Bombyx mori: one gene and its partner. The protein of the gene in region 1 interacts with the protein of each later gene in a pairwise test. Links are inferred from orthologs where the notes say so. Each region holds a gene or a part of one and is shown in the gene's direction. Other genes may lie near its edges.

What was found.
Region 2: the proteins of golgin subfamily A member 2 (region 1) and NADH dehydrogenase [ubiquinone] 1 beta subcomplex subunit 9 interact in a two-hybrid assay, tested with the Drosophila melanogaster proteins (2 studies listed by BioGRID). The link is inferred for Bombyx mori from reciprocal best matches to the Drosophila melanogaster genes GM130 and ND-B22.

The regions. Positions count from the first base shown.
Region 1 is NC_085110.1:8,616,558-8,624,605, forward strand, and holds golgin subfamily A member 2, read left to right. Parts: upstream 1-3,313; 5' UTR 3,314-3,527; coding exon 3,528-3,569; intron 3,570-3,784; coding exon 3,785-4,765; intron 4,766-5,717; coding exon 5,718-5,957; intron 5,958-6,978; coding exon 6,979-7,809; 3' UTR 7,810-7,940; downstream 7,941-8,048. Other genes in the region: phosphatidylserine synthase, read right to left, coding at 70-230.
Region 2 is NC_085126.1:4,500,651-4,508,733, forward strand, and holds the start of NADH dehydrogenase [ubiquinone] 1 beta subcomplex subunit 9, read left to right. Parts: upstream 1-2,975; 5' UTR 2,976-3,255; exon of another isoform or gene 3,256-3,330; intron 3,331-3,692; exon of another isoform or gene 3,693-5,150; coding exon of another isoform or gene 5,151-5,393; intron 5,394-6,550; coding exon of another isoform or gene 6,551-6,667; intron 6,668-7,341; coding exon of another isoform or gene 7,342-7,535; intron 7,536-8,083. Other genes in the region: retinaldehyde-binding protein 1, read right to left, coding at 5,151-5,393, 6,551-6,667, 7,342-7,535.

The DNA.
Region 1 (8,048 bases):
TTAGTGGATTACATCACTTAACATATATTTATTATCTTTAGTAAATTACGAAAAAACAATCGGACATACCTGACAAATGCTGTATAAATAACTGAAGCAATCGAAACAGCTAATAACGTTATAGTATGAGGTTTGTAGAAAAATTCCAGTGAAATATCATCCACCGGTCTTTCATTTATTGAACTGAAAGCGTCCGCATGTTCATTTGATAAGGTAGTTGTACTTCCCATTGCTTACTCTTTATGCAGAAGGTTAATGAGTAATTCGATTTATTTCATTACTTTTTTATATCGAGCTTCTCTTGTCAACGACCGTACATCAGGAGGACGACGATTATAGTGTATTAGAGGGGGGAAATGGGGGAATGGTACTCCCTTACCAGCATAGATTATACACTTAATATATTTGAGCTTACCAGCGTGACCAGATTTGATTTGACAAATCTACTGCTAGTGGAGGTTAAAATTTACTGAATTCTACCAAAAGAGAACGAGAACTACTAAAAATCTGTCGTGTTACAACGTACAAAAATGAATATTTCCTTGATTAAACAATAAAATAATAAAAATAACAAAGAATCCACCATTAATTCAAGATATCTGTTGGACGGTTAAATTTGAGGGGATGGGTTCTGTAGGTGATGAGGGACTATTTAAAAACAGACTGCTTCATTATAATTGAGTCGTCTATTATCAAAGGTGGCAATCTGTGCATTTGGACAAAAAAATGTTATTCATATGTCAATACAGATTGATTTGAATATAATCGTCTCCTTCAAAGAATACTGTTCAAAACCTGCATTAAATAAAGGTTAATAGTTAACCTGTTATTTATCTAAGATGTCGTTCCGAAGAGTTTTGTGACTGCCAATGGAATACAAAGTCAATAATTCGTTTTTCTGATTTACCAATAATTATCCAAAAGTCAGATTGCCGGCTTTGATAATAGTCGACTCAATTATAGTGCAGATAGTTTGAACACTGTTACACCATTATAAAATTATTATCTTTATATTTTTATAAAACTCTTACATATTTCTTTGACCGTGTCTAGATGAGAAGTCCTGACTTTTTCTTACACCGGTCACTCACATTCACACGAATACGCAAACCCGCAAGTGTAGGACGACATTTGCAAATGATTATGCAAAGTTTTCGCTGCATTCGTGGTTTTCCAAGCTGTGTCGGTTTTTTAACAGACATCAAAGCGCGCGAACCGCGATCCTTCGCGTAGTCTCCCACGCATTCGTGTGACCAGTTGCGCCCAGGATTGCGAAGACAACGGACGTTTCGCTATTTTCATAGATCGTGACGTCTACCGTGTAGCGTATCTTCATCAAAAGAAATCCCATAAAAACATCATGGCTATTAATGATGTCTGGGAAATAATTCAAAACTCTTTTTCTCTTCAATGTTTTATTGACGAAAAGGAGGAGGAGAAATTCGTGAGACATTCGTAAACAAGTGTAGGAGGAAGCGCAAACGGGTTCGCAAATTGAGTACCGAACCCATTTGCTCAGCCGCTAAGTTTGCGAATGAATGTTTGTCGGCCCTACAATGTACGAATATTTGCGCGCATCTGAGTGACCGGCATTACGAGAATACAATCATTTGCTTTTTAAACATTTAAAATAATTGTAATATGTATTCGAAATCTGTAATCATGTTTCAAGTGTTGCTGGCCATTACATTTATATTCAAACTCCAACAATATCAAAGTTCTTTTTTTTAAATTAAATTCTAAATAATAATAAAAAAAAAAAATTAAATGAAACTTAAACTTAAAATTCTGCGTCTTTATGTTGGCTAACATTTTCATAAAGTTGTTTTGAATCCATTAACTTGATAATACTTCTGTCAGGATCAAATGTGCGACATCCTCCTTTCAACTGTCGTAGCCCCTCTTTTCCATGCATTATTGCAGCAACATTCTTATTATTAAATAAATTTCGATCTTGATTTTTAATCTTATTAATATTAGAAATTATTCTTTCTACTTTGGCGTTTGACAAGGGTAGTATAGTCATTTGCTTCACAAATCGGGACAAATTGCCATACCTTGGCTTGCTATTCGCATCACAGATTTCGCTGACTTCACTCCAAAATGTATCCACCATATAAGATTCAGACGTCGAACTGGAAGTTGACAATAAATTAGACACGGAAACATCTAATTTTAATATATTCTTTGTCAACAATTTGCATGTTTTCTGTTACAACTACAAGGATATCGTGATGAGTGGGACATCGCGATATCCTTGTATATATTTATGTTTCATTTTAAGCTCAATTATAAAAATTCTCATTGAAGGAATTCCCACTAGTCTATCACACTATGCTCACGGCACGAATGGTAAGAAAAGAATGAAAATTAAATAGTTACAATCCATTCGATGAAAGAGGGAATACCCCGAATTTATCCAAAATGCCAAAAAAGTACTAGAATAACTGAAAAGCGTGAATTCTACTAAAATATACCAAATAATTTTTACATACTAAATTCTGTTGCCGGTACCTCAAAATCTACCAAAAAAGTAGAAATCTACTAAATCTGGTCACGCTGTCCCTTACGGTCATAGATAAGACCTTCAAGAACATAGACCTTGATTGTGAGCGCTCCTCATGTACAACATACACAACGGGCCGAAGAGTTATTACCCAAGTATTATCCACAATACAATAAACATATTATTGATTGTTATCCCCGAGTTTTTTTAATGATACCTAAAAACAGGCAAATCTTAACAAAAAACAATAACTATAGAGAACAGCTAAGCGCTTACTTAACGAACTTTACTGGATTAAGCTTGAGTGAAACTTTGTTTTTTTTATGAAAACCTCGATGTGGTGATATCTCTACAAAGGTTCTATCTTCAAATACAGAATGCGAAAGATTGTTCAACTCACAATAGAAACAAGCTGACTAAAGAAACCCTTAACGGAATACTTGTTACTAAGTCAGGAATTCTAGCTAACAACTGCTTTTTTGGTGTCTACTAGTGCGATATTCAGTACCGCGAAAATGCGCAATATTGTATTGGCCTTTGACTGTTCTAAATATGTACTTGACTGTTAGTTTGATTTTTGGTAATAAAATATGCAAAGGAATGTTTTTTTTATACTTGTTCGCCCTAAGTGAAGGAATTTTCAAAAGAGATTTTATGTATAGTTTCTGGGAAATTTAGGGTAAAATAAAAATTTTAAAAGTATCAGATAGTACCGTACCTCCCTAGTCATAGATTCAGAGTATTGAGAGTATTGCCTACGCTGCAATTCTCAAATATATTAATTCTCGAATATATTAAGTGTATAATCTATGATATTAAGGGTATAATCTATGACTGCCATACTCTGCATTCCGATTTAAAATACGTGGAGGTTTTCGTTGGGCGCAAATAAATTTTATGAATTTATTCATAGCCATTACCTACATTAAGTTGTGTATATACGTTGAGAAAATATTTAGTGTACTATGTTTTGAGATACCTAGCCTCTAACTCTAGAGGCGTCTCCTTTCCAATTAAAACGATGGATGCCAGAGCTGCTAAATTAGAACTTGCTCGCAAAAAGGTATTTAGGTATATCATAGAAAATAATTAGTATTAATTCCCTGGCCCAAAAGCTTAAAATATGACATAGGTAATATTTTGTAAAATACGATAAAGGCACTAATGGTTGTTTTGTTGAACAACAATACGATAATAAGAATAAATACATAACTTAAATAGTAATTTATTACATGAATAGTGATTATTGAATGTTTTATTTATATTTTTAAATTACAGTTGAGAGAACATCAAGAACAAAAACTAGGAAATGTTCAGAAAGAAACATGTCTGAAAACGAATGATCAAAATCATTCGCCACCTCAATTAGCTTCTGAAGTCAATGATTTTGACTCGTCTCCTCAGCAAAAGCAAAAAAATAGTGAAAACAATAATATTTTAGAGGAGAACTACGATAATAAGCTGCTTGAAAATACACTCAGTGCAACAGAAATTCTCATTTGTAATGAGAGAAAACTTGAAACGCAAGTCAGTGAGCTGCAATCAAAATTATCAGAGCTAGAACAGAAATATACTGATGCTGTAAAATTAATTAATCAATCTAATCAATCATTCCATAATTTGCAAAATGAAACCAAAACTTTACAAAACAATAGTTTGTTGTTGACTAATGAGTTGCTGATCAAAGATAACAAAATACAAGAATTAGAAAAGAGTAATTCCAGTCTCTCAGATGAAATTAATAATTTACAAGAACAACTGGAATTTACCAAAACAATGCTTACTGCTAAAGAAACAGAAAATAGTTCTCTCAATAGTCAATTATTCAACCTTCAAAATCAGCTTGATTCAACTCAGCTACAACTGCAGCAGCTTACGAATGGGGCTTATGCTTCTACTTCTGATGGGAGAAACACTAATGTTGAATCAAATGAGAGCTTAAAGCAAAAAAATTCTAGTTTAGAACAACAGTTAAAAACTCTACAAAAAGAAAAAGATAATATTCATACACATTATCAACATTATGTTATTGAATTAAATGAACATTTAAAAAATATGGTTTCACAAAATGAAAGTCTTGCTGGAGAGGTTGAGCGTTTATCTAACAGAGAAACTAGTCTTGTTGATCAGATAAGCGATTTGGAAATAAGATTGCAGAATTATAGTTCATACCGCACCCAAGTTACTGAAACATCAACATCTCGTAATAATAACAGTGATGACTTTAAAGAATTACAAAACAAATATGAAGAAACTAGTGTAAGTTACATTAATAATAAGACAACAAAATCTAGCTTATTCAGAAACTTCAGAATGTACATTCCAGCCATGATGGAAGTTTTTTTACACATGAAAATACCCTAATTAAGTACATGAATAGTTCTGAAATTTGTTTAGGAACCTATACTGTCATATATGCCTAAAATTTCAGTAAACCAGTCTTCCGAGTGGAGACATGCAATCAAAATTATGCTGCTAAGAATGTGAGAAAACACAAGAATTGGACTATCTACAGCTTCAGAGATAGTCAAACTGCGCTCAAAGCACTAACAGCCCTTAAGGCTAAACTTAGGGTTTTATACATTTATTGCATAGGTGGATCAAAGTGCTCATGGGCCATCTGGTGTTTAGTGATTACCGCCTATAGACATCAGAATTTGAATGCCGACACCCTTAAGACATGAGATCTAAGTCAGAATTGTATAGAATAATGGCTGTGCCATCCTTCAAATTGGAACGCTAAATTACTTCATGGCAAAAATAGGTCGATTGGTTGATTGTACCTACCGATACGGGCTCATATGACTCCTATTAACAGTAAAGTTTGATAGCCACAAGAGCTCACATTGAGCAAATAAAGTGCAATAGCATCAATTTAGTCTGACCATCTTGGTATCGAGTCCAATTAAAAGTCCGATGAACTAGCTAAAAATCGCTCTAAAAGAGCAGTGGTTGTCTGAAATTCATGTAATTGTTCCAACACAAATGGTTTATGGGTTACTGACACAAAGCACTAAAAAGTAAATGTTTGAGTGGAGGAGCATTTCTACTAAGGTACAATGAATACTTAAATAGAACAAATACAGACAAAACCAACAAGTCTTGAAAATATCTACTCAGTTAACTCTGCCCATTTTTTCAAGATTTGATAAAAAATTTGGCAACCCAGTAATTTATTATTAGTACATTAATTAGACACTTGGTGTTACAGAAAAAACTCTGTGAATTGAGTAATAAATATGAACAACTAGAAACATTAAATAATGAAAACATTGCAAAAATTAAAGATTTAGAAAAAAACAAAGATTCTGAAGCGAAGCTTGAGGAAATAAGTCTATCCAAATTGAATGCGGACATAGCTAGTGACAAAATAGCTGCTCAAAAAGCCACCGAGCAAAACAAAATACTGAAACAGGACATGCAGAATTTAGAGGATGCATTTGTTAAAATGGTATAGCAGCTTCATTTATAAATCAATAAGTAAAATAATAATCAGCAATTTCTAAAATCACATTAGATATCATTTTATTGTTTGCTTAATTGGTGATGTTTCGTGAAGCTAGAATATCCCGAGGTTACTAGCAGTAGGAAAAAAAATTGTAGAAAAAATTGGCATTGGTGTTCATAACATTTAGTACTAACATTGCATGTACTAACTGTACATTTCTGCCTAACAAACGAAACAACCTTGGAGTTTCAATTTGAAAACTAGTGCAAACATTAGACAGTAAAAATGCTACATTGAGCTAATATCCCAAGGTGGGTGGCTGTGTCTGCCCATTCAAGGGTAAGTGTTTACCGATGTCTGTAAATATCAGACACTATTTGGATGTAAGATTGTTTGTAAACTAGATGTATATTTTATTATATTTGTAGTTGAAAAGTAATGAGACACTTGGAAAATGGATTAATATACCATTATAGTTTAACAAATTAATTTAGTACAGAGAACTAATTACTTTTTGAAACATTGCAGTTTTTTTTCATTTTAGTTTTTAGGTTGTTTTGTGAATCTTTTCTTATTACTTATTTTACTTATTATGATATGTTTTGGATATATTTATAATTTCGGTGATTAATTAATTTGTGATGAGAGTAAAGAAGAGCAATGGAGAGGGCTATGCTCGGAGTTTCCTTACGAAATCAAATCAGTAATGAGGAAATTCGCAGGAAAACCATGGTAGAAGAATTGCGACGTTGAAGTGGCAGTGGGCAGGGCGCGTTTCTCGTAGAACGGATGACTGTTGGGGCTGGAAAGTTGTAGGTGTTGTATGTTGTAGTGGGTAGACCGAAGATGGAACAACGACCTATTGTGGTTCGCGGGGATCCGCAGGATGCAAGCAGCGCAGGACCGATCTTTGTGGAGAGACTTGGGGTGACCTATGTCCAGCGGTGGACGTCTGTGGGCTGATAGAATAGAATAGAGGGTAAACAAGTACGTAAAATTTAAAACTTTTTGTGCATATTTACAGAGTAAAGACAAGTTAGAGTTAACAGAAAAATTGAGCGCTGAAAAATTTTTGAATCGCGAACTTACAATAAAATTAGCAGATGCAGAGGAGAAAGCAAAAGATATGTTAATTAAATTAAAAGCCAAAGATAGTGAAATGATAAGACTACAGTCAAGTTATAGGGAGATGGAAATAAACTTAAGAAACGCCGCAAAAAGTAATGAGTCTGCTAACGACGATATATCTAACGAAATTTCGGAATGCGAAAAACCGTTAGATAGTAAAATAGATTGTCTACGAACTGATGATACTGAGATATGTTTGAATCAAAATGATGTATGCAAACACGAAGTATTGGTTGATAATGGCAAAAAACCTGATATTTTAATCGCAAAGGACGATGCAATGAAGAAACTACAGGAACGTTTTTTAAAAATAATGAATGATGTTGCCGATTTATCTGATGAAAAGCATCGGCTTGAGCATATAATTTTACAATTGCAAAATGAAACCGATACTATTTGTGAATACGTAGCTTTATATCAGCAACAACGCAGCTTATTAAAAAGACGAGACGAAGAGCGAAGTATTCAGTTAAATATGTTTGAAACGGAATGTAGTAAACTTAAAAGACAGCTGGAAGAATTGACTGCTATCCTCGTAAAACTGTCTGAAGATGAAGACATCTCTTCTTGCTTACAAAAACACTCCAAGAATATTGAAATCGAGCAAATAATGAAACTCCTCACAAACTTGAACAATAATTCTTTAATCGATCCCATGAAGAAAAGTATTGATTTCAAAGATTTTTATCCTTGCAGTTGTTGTTCTGGAAAACTTATGGAAATATAATATATTTCTTTAAACTTACGTAATAAAAGTCATTGTTAAAATAATCTAAATGTAATAATATGTAATGGTATCTTAATATATGTCTTAGCCTTTAGATGACAAAAATAAAATCACTAAAATCTAATAAATAATTTTGTTTGGGGAAAGTGTAGAGGGAGGAAAGTAGTACTGAATTAAAGTTACATCGAGTAATCATTGAAAATACACTAAAATAAGATGGCGCCCTTGCCCTAAGGCGT
Region 2 (8,083 bases), on another chromosome or scaffold:
TTGCACTTTTGCAATGGATCATATGCTGTACTGTTATTTCATACACAAATAAATAAAAAAAATAGTAACATAGTAATAACACTTATTTATGCACATCTTGTGTACTGAGTAACCTTTAAGTTTAAAAAATGATAAAGAATAGTGTAACAAATTAAATATAAGAATCTATGTTTAGAATTTATATACTTAAAGTTAATTTGAACAGGTGTTGATATTGAATAGAAATAAATTTGCATAATGCATGTGTGTAATCTGTTTTAGGCAAGTAGACACCAATAACAAAACAGATCAAAAATGAATTACTTATAATGGATATTTATGAAATTAAAACAATTACACAATCACTGTTTTGGGAAACATTAAAGGATTTATAAAATGACTAAATAGCATTTATCATATGAGGCAAATTGTTGTGCTGCTGCATACTTTTTTAATTATTTACCTAGATAGGTCATAGAACTCAGAGCTCACACTGGAGTTAAATAGTTCGAAGAGCCCATAGACATTAACAAGCTGAACCATTAGTATTAGTCAATGATCTATGAATAGCTGATTGATTATTTTCTTATAGCACAAAATGACAATGTCATACACATAGGAATGTGTACACATGTTTAGTAAAGTTTAATATAATTAAAGTTGTTTTTTTTTTGGTACCTATTTGCTGATAGCCTTAGGGGCTATTCCAGCTTTTCACAGATGGCTATGCGAGCTCAAGGGCTCAACCTGAGAGAATTTGCTAACACTAGCTCTAGCAAGAGAAGTGCTTCGGAGAATCTACCACCAGATCGCAACCCACTGAGAAGATCCGGAGAGAAACTCAGTGGGCAGAGAGTTATGTAATTCTCTATTTTAATGTATATGTGTGGAAATTAATTTTAAACTTTTTGCTTTGAATGTTTGTTATAACCTCTCTTCATTTTACTTGACATTGAGGGGTGAAAGACTATTTGGTTTAAGCGAAGTTTTTGCAACTTTACTGGAGAGCCGTTTAAAATTTGGAAAAAATATCATTACAAAAAAAACTTCTTCAGCTATTTCAATGGAGTAAGCTTTATTGATGTTTAATTAATAACATCAAACTGTTGATGATAATACTGAATAAAACGCACCATTACGTACAAAGATAAATGTCGCATATTAATTGAAATGTCACTTAAACCAAACAGCCTTTCATCCCTCAATATAATCTACAGGTACCAAAACCCTACCAATTTCTACCCAGCAGCCACACATTCTTGTATAAAGACTGGAACACATTATATGAATGAGAGTTCGACCTCATGTCTCAAGATGAGTAGTGGTATTTACATTGTATGTCTATGGATTCTATTATCCACTTGACACCACTCACTTGAGACTTGGGCTCCAATCAGGCTCATCGTCATTTTCTGGGTACGGCTGAGTGTGAAAAAGATTAAACTGTAGCATCATACTCCGATGCGGACAAAAATTAAAATTAAGTTTTCCAGACAAACAAGCTTGAGATACTTTTGTCAACAATATTTGTTACTATTGTTTTTAGTATTTTTTATGGGATAAATGATGAGCTTGCGGACAGGTCTCTTTTTATTGAGCGGCTACTAGAGCCCATCAGACGGTCCAGACATCACATACATTGTTTAGTACAAGTACAAAAAAAAAAAATATCGTTTAGGCCCTGACAACTTGAAAATATAATGTAAATATCACAAAACAATAATTCTAATATTTTAAAGTAAATTTTCTTATTAGCAGGAGATTTCTGTAGCCTTGTGTTTTTAAAAATTAAGATGACAAGGTTTTTCATTTAGAAATCTTACAAAACCTATGAACCATATTCCAGAAAACCTATAACCATATCATTCCAGGTGAAGATGAGCTTAGAATAGTTATTATTTTCCTTCAAAAAGGACCGCCATTACAAAAGAAAACGTATTATTTTCTTTTTTTATTTAATTTATTATTCAATTTGTTTGTGAAAAAGGTCTAAATTTTTGTAAAGTTCTCAATTTCATCTTTTTAAATTAGTTTTTGAATGATTATCTCTCTAGAGATATGTAGAAATAAATTATAGCCAAAAAGGAAGTTAGCTATATGAATTGATAATTGCAATCTCAACAAACTTTTGTATAATATTGCCAAAGCTTGCACATTGTACAGAAAAATCATTAGCAGCATTCTTTAAAAATATCACTATTCAAATATTCTATTTTATTCATTCTTATTTATTCTTACAAGTTCATCAATAAATAGGAATTTAATTTTTACAGTTTTAGAATCATTGATATTAAAAATTTTATTAATTGAACTGGATACAGTGTATGCAGTGGGTAATACAATTAACCATTTCTTGTCACTATAGTATTCATTATTAAACATAAAAAAAAAACATGAAAATGTTTGTTTGAAAGTGAATTTTATATTGGTTATATTGTGGTAGATGTATTTTCTTCTAAACAAAATTATTGAATGTATTGATGAAAATTTGCTACATTTGCATCAAAATTGCAAAGTTAATCAAATTCATAACTTTTTTCTTGTTTAAATCCTTGATTTTGTTTACAAGTTAATGATAAACTTAGTGAATCAAGCCACAGGTCTATGAATGCCCCAATAGAGTTCTTATCAAACATCTTTATTGATTTTGATTTATCCACGACGAAAAACATTGCAAACGAAATCTAAATATTTAGGTTCGACTGATTTTCTAAAACAAACATAACGTTTGACGTTCTCGAGGAGGAAAAAACCGTCTTGATATGAAACACGGAGGTTTTGCTTTGGTATCATACTCGTGCTTCACTTTTCGCTTGCAAAAGGATTAGGTACGAACGAATTAAAGCAGTTTTCACACCCAAATAACATAACTGCATATTTATAGGTTAAAATATAATATTCATAACAAAATAAACAAAATTCATACAATCTATTTGAGGATTACCGTTTTGTAACAGAAACTAAAACATACAATTACCATTATTCCTGAAATACTCACAACAAGTCATAGACGTGGGCCTGCGTTCACGTCCCGATGTTTACTATAACACACCTTACACAATCTCCGAAAAATAAATCACTAAAATAACATAATCGTGTTATTAAAACGTCACTGGAGTAAAAATCATTAGGAAATTCGAATGTCCTATTGATCTAAATACATAGAAATTTCTCTTGTAATATTTTTTCAATCTGTGTGGACGCCAAACTGCGGGAAAAACTACAGTGAAGTTAGCTATCGATAGTGCCGCATTTCAAGGTCATCTTAAATTTATGGTACGTGTACGTGTCTATGCTTAAATGCAAAGATATTTTTTAAAGATTGTATGATCTGGTATTAAGGCCTTTAAGGTAAGTCTTTTGTTTTCTTCGTCCATTTTATTTTATATAATTATATCATTGACATTGAATAAATTTTTTTTAAGAAAAACTAATAATTACTAATAGATGCTACTACTGGTTGCACATATTTGAATTAGACATTTGTATCATATTTTTTTATGTCTGCTGCAGAAGTTGTAGCCATTAAAATCGTAAATGTCATTGGTTCAGTGAGCTTATAATATCTCCGTCCTTTAGTAATATCTACAATCCTTTGTATACCTCTCAGATAAATATATTAGTTTGGTATACCTTAGCATGATGACTACATCATGTGACGTACACACGATTTTGAACAACGGATAGGACTGCTTAAAAAGAAACACACCTAGTACATAATTTAAGTACTTTTATTATTTGAACAGCGTAATATGGAACTAAAACTAAGCTTAAATTGAATTACCAGACAGCAGTGTAACAATTATTCGTACATTAGATTTTTCCAGGGATTTTGTTTAATTATCGTCATATTAGCTGTTTGAAATTTAAACTAGTAACATAATTATTTATACCGGAATATTAGTAATAGTGATGTAGTTTTCTTTTCTTCTTCAGATTGCCATTTTAATTTATTGGTAACGTGACACCACCGACGGCTGTCACCAGTCACTACACTACACTGTATAGTAAAAAGAAAGCAAGAAAAATAGGTATTAAATCAGAAGTCATACGTAATTTCACCTATTTTTCTAGTTAAGTATTAAAACAATGTGGTCTAGTTTGTTTTTTTGTTCAATTTTCTATACATTTGTGCGTTATTAATCCGACAAAATAAAAGTTAAGTAAGTTAATTGCATATTTAGCAACGCAGAGGTTTCTGGCAAGATACTATTTACGTATGACAGATGGCGTGCTAGTATTCCTAACAAATATTAAACAATTAATGTTCTAATCGCATTTAATTCAAAATTTTGCGAGTCACACCAAAATGTAGCCAGAATAAGCTTATCTACTATTCACATCAAAATTAATTATAATCATGTATTTAGTTACATATAAAACGAGATCTGGATTTTAAAAAAAAACGAATTATTGTAAAAGTAATCTTATTTTAAAGAGATTAGGATTATTAGTGATCCTTAAACATTAACTTACAAGAAATTGTCATGAACTTAACAACGTATTCCTAGGGATATTCCGATACTAGTAAATACGAGTAAGTACTCGATACTTTTGATTCGATACCAAGTATTTCTAGTATCGAATCAATCTTGCGATACATACTCGGTATCGAAACAAAAGTACTTGGTATCAAATCGAATCAGCATTACCATTAAAAAAGTTTAAAATTTCCGAACGCATTATAGAGAACGAGAGAGTAAAAGCCCACTCGCTCGGTTACCGGTATTCATCCATCGCGTAGCGGCGCGGCGACGCGACGGCGCGGTGTGGATGAGGCGTGCCTTTTTTCCAAAGCCGGTGCAATAATGTCTCAAACAAGCTTCGATCAACTATAGTAACCAAACAAGGAACAGATTGTCTCCAAAATACCTCGAACAGTTACTGATTTTGGGCAATCTTGATGCCAAAGAGTTTTTTGTTTAAAGTAAGTACTTAAAGTAGGTGCTAAAAGTATAGATATCAGTAAGTATCGATACTTTAGGAGTATTCATATAAGTAGTATCGAATAAAGATTTGAGTACTATCGAAATGAGTAGGTATCGATACTTTGATGGTATCGGAACATCCCTATGTATTCCCAAAAAATTACTACGAAACTGTATTCTATCACAGAACTGTAAAGATATAGTAAAATATTTAAAACAATAGTAATTATGTTAATCCGATATTTAATCCAATTCAAGTTTACGGAACGATCCGGCGGTTGAATGAATGTCTTGTGTCAAATCATTTTTTTCTAGTGCATACAAATCGATGCACATGTCATCCAAGGCCAGTAGCTCCTCTCTTTGCTTCAATAAATTACGTTTCAGTTCTTCAATCATATCTTTTAGTGGGACTGTACCGCCATATTCTTTTGGCAAAATGGCAGGGTCAACGTATTTTGTTAGGTCACTACTCGTACGATGGAACTGTAAACAAACAATTAGAATAGGTATATAAAAATCAGGTACTCCCTAATTATACGTAATTTGAAAAAATAGTACATTGTGCACCAAGGAAGAAAACTAGGACATTTCCTCCCGCGTGTAAAATTGCCAACACTACTTTTTTCTCCTACCAGGCCGAAAGTTCGTGGAGTACCGAGTCGGGGTCCAGGGGCGAAGCCCCGGTGGGGTCCAGGGCAGGGGGTAGGGGGGGCGGAGCCACCCCATACTCATAAAAAAACAATATAACTGCAAATTTTATTGCCTTTTGTTTATTTCACTTTTACACTAAACACAATATTGCAAATTACCCGAGCACAACAATGGCGGAGAATTTTAGGTGCGTGAGAGCAGACGTAGACACTAACGCGCATGTGCACTTGTCAGTACTCAGGGAGGAAAAGTTAAACTTTCTTCCCTGTACAGCGGGAGGAAAACCGAACTTTCGGCGTAGGTAGGAGAAAAAAAGTCATATTTTTTGTCTTGAAAGTAGTTCGCTTCAAAGTTTATTATGAAAAATAGACTGTCAGCGCTTGTTAAATAGATACGATAAACATAAAAAGTGCTTTACGCTAATCTATTTTCCCAAACTTATTCAACTCGTTCCCACGAACTTATTAAAGGCAGTAAATACAGATTGAGAAATTCAGTTTTGTCTAATATATACTTCCTTGTATTATTATTACAAACAAAAAAAAATTCTTAGGTCATTTTTTCTAAATTATCTAGTGTTATTACATGTTGGGACGTAAGCTGCGCAGGCCTATTTTTACATATGAAATGGCAATTTCTGCTGCAAGCCATTCATGGTGTGACAATTAAGAAAAAAATAGCTGCTATTTCAATGCAATTGAGACTTCCACTACTTATTTGAGTAGGTCAGCGGAAGTCAGGTTGTGATCTATGGTCTCATCTATGCGTAGAGAAGCCATCCGCTGTCTATCTATGCACACAAAAAGGCTCCCTTTTGACATAAACTACTAAAAGATTTTTAATTATAAGTTATAACTCTAAGAACTGTAAGAACTCACTAACATAGATAATACACTTATATTTGAGACTCACTAAGTTCAGACAGTTCGAAACTTAAACTACTCATTGGCTGTTTATATGATGTTTTATAAGCTATAAAATTGTCTTACCATAACACGGTCTTTCAGTTTATCACTCAACAACGAAACTGCAAATTCGAAAAATCTGACTCCATAATGCGGTATGTTCACAAAATGTGTCCTCTTGTGCCTCATCGGTGTTGAATTCTATAACAAATTAATTCCGATTATTAAACAGTTTTGGTAATATTTTTTACTGGTGGTAGGACCTCTTGTTAGTCCGCACGGGTAGGTAGGTACCACCGCCCTGCCTATTTCTGCCGTGAAACAGTAATGCATTTCGGTTTTAAGAGTGGGGCAGCCGTTGTAGCCTTAGAACTTATAGTTCAAGGTGCGTGCCGCATTTACGTTTTGGGGGTCTATGGGCTCTAGTAATCACTTAACACCAGGTGGGCTGTGAGCTTGTCCATCCATCTAGGCAAAAAAAAAAAAAGTTAAAAGTTAACTACAAAATTTTTGAAGAAAAAAAAAATTTGTTAGGCGTACAGTAATATTTGTATTCAATTAATCATGAATGTTTATACAGTAAAGAGGTCTAGTCAAAGATTAGCATAATAAATAAACCTTTATTTTTTATTTTTTAATGCGCTTATTCTTTTTTTTCTGTATAAGTCTTCATGTGCATGATTACATATATAACTATGCTGTAGTGACTATTCCTATAGCGATTTTTAACGATAATAGGTACTCAAGGATGATTGCATATCGGATTTTTTTTCTAATTTATTTTGAAATTATACTTGGGAATTTTTAAAAAGTGATAAAAAAAATATATGGCGTTTCTAAATTTTCGGTACAAAAACACATTATATTCAACATACCTGAATGCAATTAAGCATTATCCTGACATCGGTGAGAGACCAAAGACTAATGTGAGGCATTTGCATGCCGGCTTCGTCATTAACATGAGTGTAGCCGAGAAGTTGGGAGCGTGGCTCGTCGAGGAGGTGTTCCACAATCATTGAATGAACTCGGGCCATTACACAACTGTCGTATAAGTGAGGATCGAAGCGTCCTGAATGCAAAACAATAGTTATGGTTTAACTTAATGGTTCAAAGAAAACTGGTCATAGCGGTTATGACCCTGGTATCATCGGTATCTATGGACAACAGTGATGACTTTCCATTCGACGTCCACTCACATCTAATGTCAACGAATAATACCATCTGATTCCCAGTACAGTACAACCCGTCGATTACAAGGAAAAGTTCGACGTGGGAATTAGCAAATAGACACAGCCTACTGAGTTTCTTGCCGGATTTTCTCAGTAAGTCGCGGTTACGATCCGGTGGTAGATTCTGCGAAGCACTGCTCTTGCTAGGGCCAGTGTTAGCAACTCACTCAGGTTGAGACTGTAAGCTCACCTACCAGCCAGTGCTAAGCTCGAATAACCCCTTAGACTACCAGCGAATAGGTAGGGGGAAAATAATTATCTTTGACTACGAAAACTATAAAGCGAAAAGTATTAAACCGTGAAAGTAGTTCTAATTGAAGACATGAGTTGATTTTAAGATTTTTCAGTTTTTACATTGAATGAAGGTGCTATGTGTCTATAAACCATA